2 linked regions of the Drosophila melanogaster genome follow. Changing the gene in region 1 together with any one later gene gives a genetic interaction. Each region holds a gene or a part of one and is shown on either strand. Other genes may lie near its edges. The genes, in order: cype and ea.

Region 1 (3,387 bases):
GGGCGGAGCGGGTCGGGGCAGCTGGTGCCCACAGGTTGCATTTTCTCATGCGTGCGTGCGTTTTCCTTTTCTCTCTGCGGGACGTGTTATCGATACCCCGACGTCGTCGCCATTTTTCTTCTTGGCCTCTTGGAAGGCGGTGCGCCGGTGTGCGTGCTTGCTCGTGTACGTGTGCTGGTTGGGCAAGTGTGTGTGTGTGGCAGAGGGAAAAGGTAACCAAAATACTTGCTTGGCACTAAGGCGGGGGGTAAAAAGGGGGCGGGCTGATTAATAAAATAAAAAAGGGGGAACCGAAAAAGAGAGATGAAAAAATAAACACGGGAAATGCGAGATTCTATACACTCGAAGCCAACCAATTAGTTCACCCTTTTCGCCGCCTATTGTTTTTGTTTTTATACCCGTCTCTGAGTGCGTGGGTGACGCAAGTGTAAAATGAGCAAAAGCGATGGCAAAAACAGACAAGAAAAGGGGGGAAAAAGAAGCCCACTTGAAGTGCAATAATCGCAAATCAGCTGTTCCGTTGCGCTCCACCAAAAAGCGAAACACGATAAACTCACCTGTTTAAGTGGCATATCATCACACGACAATCGCACGCGTCGTAGGTTTAATTGTTAGAACGCTGCTCAATTCTCGCATTTAGCTTTCGATTGACCGCCGTGGCGTCCTTTGGATTGAAATTGTTGGACCAATTGCATTATAGGCTTGACACTCGATGGCTTCGGTTTATTGTCTTTCGATGTAATCCGCACTCAGTTTTTAACCTCTGCGACTTGGGTTTTTGGGCATTTTCCACTATTATTTTTTTCTCTTCTCCCCTTTTGCTTTTTACTTTTTTTTTTAGTAGTAGCCTCACCAACACACACACTCACATGCACTGCAACACACACACTCACACACACACACGTGCGGGGCGCGGATACGGATTTTCCTGCGTCACTTTTCAAGCGCTTTTCCTGCTGGAAATCTTGCGTGCCCGCTTTTCAATTGTTGTTTAGGGCAAACTGAATACGTTTGGGCCCCCACTGTTCTCCATTTCACAATCGCTGGCCAAATAGTAATGCCTGTTTAGCGGAACTCGAAAATTTTCACGCATTCGGGCAGCCGATTTTCGGGGGCTTAATTTCACACGGTTCGATTGCGTGCGGGCACTTGATAAACGCACTGATTGCTGTCGAAAGATTCGCGCTTGTTTTTCAACCATCAATTGGCGTTGCAACGATGCGTTTATCCTGTTTATTTTGTACAAAAAACTTCGTAATTATTAAATTTCCACGAACAATAACAAGCACACAGTGGTAGCCATTTTTATTTTCCAGCCGGTGTTGCCAGACGTCCGCGGCCCGAAATTCCCTAAATTTCCCGACATATTTGTGGTTACCAGGGCTGCGAAGTAGCCTGTATTGGAAATTTGGCTCGAGCAGAGTTGTCAATTGTTTGGAAATTGTAATTTTATTTAATTAGTGCTAATAAATTTATAAATAAATTGTATTGCTATATTGTCTTTTATTTTTAAACATGTTTAGCAATCATAAATATAATGGTAACATAATTTGAACATGTTCAATATATAAATTTCATTCACAAATATTTTTCCTGCTTTAAACTATTGATTTTAGCTGGCCTCATAGCTTCCAGATGAAAAATTTGAAAAGTTATTACTTAACACACTTTTCTCTTAATTCTGCGTATTTAGCCTCAAAATCATTTTATTATTAAATGAAATGATTCTGTCAAATTGTCTAGGAGTGCTTTTTAATATATATTTTTATTATTTATTTTCCAAAGATCAATCGATAATTTCGCGAATGCTGCCACCTTCTTCGAATAAACGATAGTATTGAATAGAATTTGTTTTAGGTTCCATCTCTATCTCAGATTCTGAATTTGCAAATGTGAGTACATAACAAGGTTTTTCTTTAAAAAACACGGTTCAAGGGGTTTTGGAACTTAAAAAAAGTAATTAAATATCATACCAGTTGGCCATATCAACTCCATAAATTTCTGGGGAGAATTCATTAGTTGCTATGCGTTTAATGGCAGCTGCCTTTGAGCACCTTACGTAACTACCGAGCAATATAATTGATTTTTGTGATTTTCATTCTTTTCAGCGACATGGCCAACACTCCAGCCACCTCCTCTGCCGGACCCGTGCTCCGTGGCCTCCACAATGCCACCATCAAGCGCAACCTGGCCGTTTCCCTGGGCCTGACCGCCGTGGTGACCATCGCCTACAAAATTCTGGTCAACGATCCCAAGAAGGCCGCCTACGCCGACTTCTACTCGTAAATATAGCTTAACTATGCCACATGAATGTCATCATCTGATCTGTTTTATCCATTATCCCTGCAGGAAGTACGATGCCAACAAGTCCTTCGAGCGCATGAAGGCCGCCGGTCGTTTCCAGTCCTGCTAGGCTATGTTATCCCAAAACACAAGTAGTCTAAGTCAAATGATGTTGTAGAACAAGAGTTGCGCTTCTGTATTGAAAACTAAATAGATTTCAGTCTACGTACGTGCACGAAGGCGTTTTAATTTAGAGCTATCTTGTATTGCCAGCAAAAGTAAATGTGAAGGCAAATTATGATTAAATTCTTTATTATTTACTCGTATTTACAAACTTAGCCAAGTAATGCACAAAACAAACACACAAAACTATAAGGCCACACAAACCGGACCACATCTAAAACCTAATGGCAAAGTCCTTGTAGTCCAGTCGGCTGAGATTGCCCTGGTTCCGGACCTCACAGCGATCGATTTGGCAGCCGGGTGAGCCCTCAGTGGACAGCCAGGTGATCCTAAGAGTAGATTTAATCAGAAAATATTAGCATGGAGAGTGTAAACTATTCCGGTTTACTCACATCTTGTCCACCTCCTCCTTGGGCCCCTGCATCTTGCCCACAATGGTGCCCTGTTTGCTGTTCTTCACCCAGCCAGTGATTCCCGCCTTGGTGCAGCGATCGCGGGTGTCTTTCGTGAGATTCAGGCCTGCCGGTCGAAAAAAGCAATGGTATATGTTTTATATAGTCTCTAGTGCATGTGGAATGGGGCGTGAAACAAAGCCAAGGACAGTTTGGGGCCCCAAAGTAACTAGCTACTGAGGGTTTATTTTTAGGCAACCATTCGAGAGAGCTATGCTATGCTTGATTCCCGATTCCTATTTCCCATGAAACCACACCTTGTACATGTCCATAGACCTCGAAATCCAGCGTCACCAGCAGTCGGATATCCGGAATGCCCATTTCGATCGATTTCGATTTGGTTATGTAAATTTGGCAGCAAACTGGTCGTTATTTTAGAATTTCCTGATTTTATCACTTTACTCGCACTTGAAAAAGCCCTGCAACCTGGTTTATATTCTATGCAGACTTGAATCCCCAATTAAGCATA
Region 2 (4,359 bases), on another chromosome or scaffold:
TTGATGGAGTCGTGGGACAAGCCGCCATGGAAGCTGAAGGCAAAGCGCGGTGCATCGCGATACTTAAGCATAAACTGTACGAAAATTATACAATGAGTTAGTTTCCAAGCACATTTCGAAAGAGAACATACGTTTTTTGTGTACTCCAGCATGGTGATGTGATCAGGCTGGTGGCCAATGCAGTTGGGCTTGCTCTCGGCGGCCATGTGCTCCGCCTGGACATAGTAGGTACGCAGGTAGTGGTCCACCGGCTGGGCCTCAAACCCTGTCATGCGGTACGTGAAAGTGCCCACATTGGGCAAATCCTCATTAAAGGAGGTCATATATCCCAGGCGGGCAAAATCCTTCCAAATCATAGGATACGAATCCACGCTGCCTGCCCCGGACAACCGCTTCCTTGTCTCCGGCAGCTCCAGTTCCGTGAAACCCGTCAGTAGGGGCACCAGCGCCTGTGGCGTACCATCGCCCACAATGTTATAGCCTTTGAGAACGGTGGCGCCCAACTGTTGGGTGAGATACTCGTAGGTCCTGGGCAGCTTGCGAATGAAGGCATTGCGACTCAGCGAATCGAAGCCAAACATGAGGACATTGTAGATGGGAGCTGTGGCCCCATCCTGCATCTGCTGCTGGGCCTGCGCAACCGCCTCGGGTGGTAGGACGGCCAAGTTCGGGGAGAAATTGGAGGCCGGTGGACGGGGCACCGTATCCCGTATTCCGTGGGCCATGCCAAACCAACTAAGTACATGAAGATCATTCTTTAAAGTATAGGCATAACTATAAAATAAGATAATGGTCACCTCTCGCCGCTGGAGGATCGACAGACCACCTTGACAAAGTCGCTGGCCTGCAGCACATAGGGCTCCTTCATGCGCAGTGACTGCCCAAAGCGAACCTTGTAGTCCGACTTGCGAATAATGTCCGTGTAGGAGCAGATCACATCCTCGTGGCTGGACGCAATCTCTGGTCGCACAAAGCAAATGGATTTCTTTGGGGGAAACGAGGTTTAAGTTAAGCAATCAGCTCTTGTAGAAGGGGCCCAGTCCCAACCAACCTCACACATGACCCAGTCCATGCCCTCGCCGCAGTTTATTCGCTCAACCGGCTTGTAGAACTTCATGATGTCCGGATTGTCCAGCGGCAGATGGGGATGCCGGCACTCGCCACGATTCACAGCCGATCTTATGGAGCGCTCGATGATTTCGCTTTAATTAAATACAAAATTGAATTAGTTGCAAAAGATAAATACTCTTTATCACAAATATGCGCATATGTACATATACATATGTATGGACAAACATCGTACAATCAATATCCCAAGCCGCTGTGACGCACAACTAGACATACTTACATTTTGAGGCTCTTATCCAGATCCCGCTCCACGTTCAACACATACCAGGTGACCAGCAGGACCACCACACAGCAACATGCTGCAATCTTGGGGACAGTTCCCCGCCGCACAAAGCGCATTTTGAATAAATTATGAGCTGCAAATATCGGACCAGACACATGAGACTTGCATTCGCATTATTGCTGCACATACAGCACTCACTCGGCACTCAAGCGACGTACTACTTACACCACTGCCGATCTCCAAACTTGCCGCCTATTCGACCTTTACTAAATATCCACGCTCATTTTTTAAATTAAACATTTAACTTATCACCAGCTGCGACGTACCGCTATATGCGAGTTGCCAAAACAGTGGCAAACAACATTGCGAATTCGGTCATACTGTGTTGTTTGGCAACGCGACCGCTGCAATTTAAACTGCGACTTTAAACTTTGCTTTAGGTCCGATTTAAAGTCGGTAGAACTTTCAGTTTGCTGTAGAACGAAATATACCGTTAGCTTATCGTTAATGATAGTGCTTTTTGCTATCAAAACACCATGTGATACAATCGAACTTAGGCGGGGATTAAATAATGGTAGATACTCCCTTAAATTTGCCGAGTACTTTACTTACACTCAGCATGTGACAAAGTAAATTCTATTAGTACCAAAGTTAAATAAGCCAACTGACAATTACTAAGAATAATAATTGGAAGAGAGATAAAGATCTGCTCCCACGATTATCTTCATATCTGATTTGGAGACTCGCCAAAAAGCTTGCGACAAAGCTCGCAGGCCGAGAACCGCGTCCGTCCGAAGATTCAGTTGTGCGCCAAGCTCAGCTTCGGCCTCTTCGTTTCACTCCGCTCCGCTGTGGCACCTGGTATCGTCCATATTATCGCGCCGTTTATTTTGATAACTGCTTCTGCGGTCGGTCTGTAATATTGTTTTTAGGCAAAACATTATCCGCAAACCACTGACGACGTCTTGAGAAAGGACTAACGAGGTCCGATTGCGCAACGAAAATGCTAAAGCCATCGATTATCTGCCTCTTTTTGGGCATTTTGGCGAAATCATCGGCGGGCCGTAAGTAAATAGAAGACTGCCAAGATGCTCATCTGCTGGACATGACTAGCTTAACGTATTTGTTTTTTTTTGCCGCGGGCCTTCACAAGTCGCTGGAAACCTGTTTCCGTACTTCCATAGCTAATGACCTAATTTATGTATTCACAATATTGGTAAGCTCTCTGAACCTAAAGTCTGGATTTCCAGAGTTCTACTTCCCCAACGAGGCGGCCCAGGTGCCCAACTATGGGCGCTGCATAACGCCGAATCGGGAGCGTGCGCTGTGCATCCATCTGGAGGACTGCAAGTACCTATACGGCCTGCTGACCACCACCCCGCTCCGGGACACGGACCGGCTTTACCTGAGTCGCAGCCAGTGCGGCTATACGAACGGCAAGGTGCTCATCTGCTGTCCGGACCGCTACAGGGAGAGCTCATCGGAGACGACGCCACCGCCCAAGCCCAATGTAACCAGCAACAGCCTTCTGCCGCTGCCAGGACAATGCGGCAACATCCTGTCCAATCGCATCTATGGCGGAATGAAGACCAAGATCGACGAGTTCCCCTGGATGGCTCTAATTGAATACACCAAAAGTAAGTAGAGGGGCATCGTCTTAAGTCTGAACGCACTTATCCACTGGTTAATTCCTACATGCAGGCCAGGGCAAAAAGGGTCACCATTGCGGCGGATCCTTGATCAGCACAAGATATGTGATCACAGCCTCGCATTGTGTCAACGGAAAGGCACTGCCCACCGACTGGCGGTTGTCCGGTGTTCGTTTGGGCGAATGGGACACCAACACTAATCCCGATTGCGAAGTAGATGTGCGCGGCATGAAGGACTGCGCGCCACCGCATCTGGACGTGCCCGTGGAGCGTACTATACCCCATCCCGACTATATACCGGCCTCCAAGAACCAGGTCAACGACATAGCCCTGCTGCGTCTGGCCCAGCAGGTGGAGTACACCGACTTTGTGCGACCCATTTGCCTGCCTCTGGACGTCAATCTGCGGTCGGCCACCTTCGACGGCATCACCATGGACGTGGCCGGCTGGGGCAAAACGGAGCAGCTGTCGGCCAGCAACCTCAAGCTGAAGGCAGCCGTGGAGGGATTCCGGATGGATGAGTGCCAGAACGTCTACAGCAGCCAGGACATTCTCCTCGAGGACACACAGATGTGTGCCGGCGGCAAGGAAGGCGTCGACTCCTGTCGCGGTGACTCCGGGGGACCGCTCATCGGCTTGGACACCAACAAGGTGAACACCTACTACTTCCTGGCCGGCGTCGTGTCATTTGGACCGACTCCGTGCGGTCTGGCCGGATGGCCAGGAGTTTACACGCTGGTGGGCAAGTACGTTGATTGGATACAAAACACTATTGAGTCCTGATTGTAAAATGTCATATTGTAAATAAATTCGACTAACGGTTTCCGTTTAAAAACTGCTTCACAGCGTGTACGCATACTGCATGTCGATGGGCGCGTTCGCCGAAATATTGGCATAGTCAATCTTTTATTTTGTAATGAAACTATTAAATTAAAATTGACAGTCATAATACTTTCAAAGGTACATTTTTTTTAATCAATTAAAAGGTAAATTGGGCAAATTATTTTGCTTTATTAAAATGTAAAGAAATAGTTGCAATAAAAAAACTAAATTCATAATCGTTTTCAAAGTCACTGAAAATTTTACTGCTGAACTCACGCAGATTAAATAATCATATCTGGCAACACTGCAAACTGGCTGAGTAGTCTGGCAACGCAGACATATTGGTGGTAAAAATGTTGAAGAACATCTACGTAACGCCGTTAAATTTGCTTAAATCGGCCACCAGCCTGCAGCAGCAAGTGCGGGTAAGTGCTCTCCTGGATTAGGGAAGCGATCCCCATTCACCACCAATTTGCTTCCAGACCACGTTCGTCCTGAAGCGCAAATATGACCCGCCGCTGCACAAAACCAACGAGA

The links.
Region 2: of cype (region 1) and ea, changing one enhances a phenotype caused by changing the other (phenotypic enhancement), as found in Drosophila melanogaster (one study listed by BioGRID).

The regions. Positions count from the first base shown.
Region 1 is NT_033779.5:5,325,395-5,328,781, forward strand, and holds cype (cyclope), read left to right. Parts: upstream 1-1,832; 5' UTR 1,833-1,892; intron 1,893-1,894; exon of another isoform or gene 1,895-1,956; intron 1,957-2,108; 5' UTR 2,109-2,112; coding exon 2,113-2,282; intron 2,283-2,349; coding exon 2,350-2,413; 3' UTR 2,414-2,575; downstream 2,576-3,387. Other genes in the region: Ncoa6 (nuclear receptor coactivator 6), read right to left, coding at 558-572; CG14022 (uncharacterized protein), read right to left, coding at 2,681-2,795, 2,859-2,985, 3,176-3,239.
Region 2 is NT_033777.3:15,326,579-15,330,937, forward strand, and holds ea (easter), read left to right. Parts: upstream 1-2,150; 5' UTR 2,151-2,354; coding exon 2,355-2,415; intron 2,416-2,504; exon of another isoform or gene 2,505-2,601; coding exon 2,602-2,988; intron 2,989-3,052; coding exon 3,053-3,783; 3' UTR 3,784-3,830; downstream 3,831-4,359. Other genes in the region: CG6236 (uncharacterized protein), read right to left, coding at 1-74, 132-735, 798-985, 1,052-1,202, 1,349-1,467; mRpL9 (mitochondrial ribosomal protein L9), read left to right, coding at 4,176-4,247, 4,305-4,359. UniProt on the Drosophila melanogaster protein: Component of the extracellular signaling pathway that establishes the dorsal-ventral pathway of the embryo.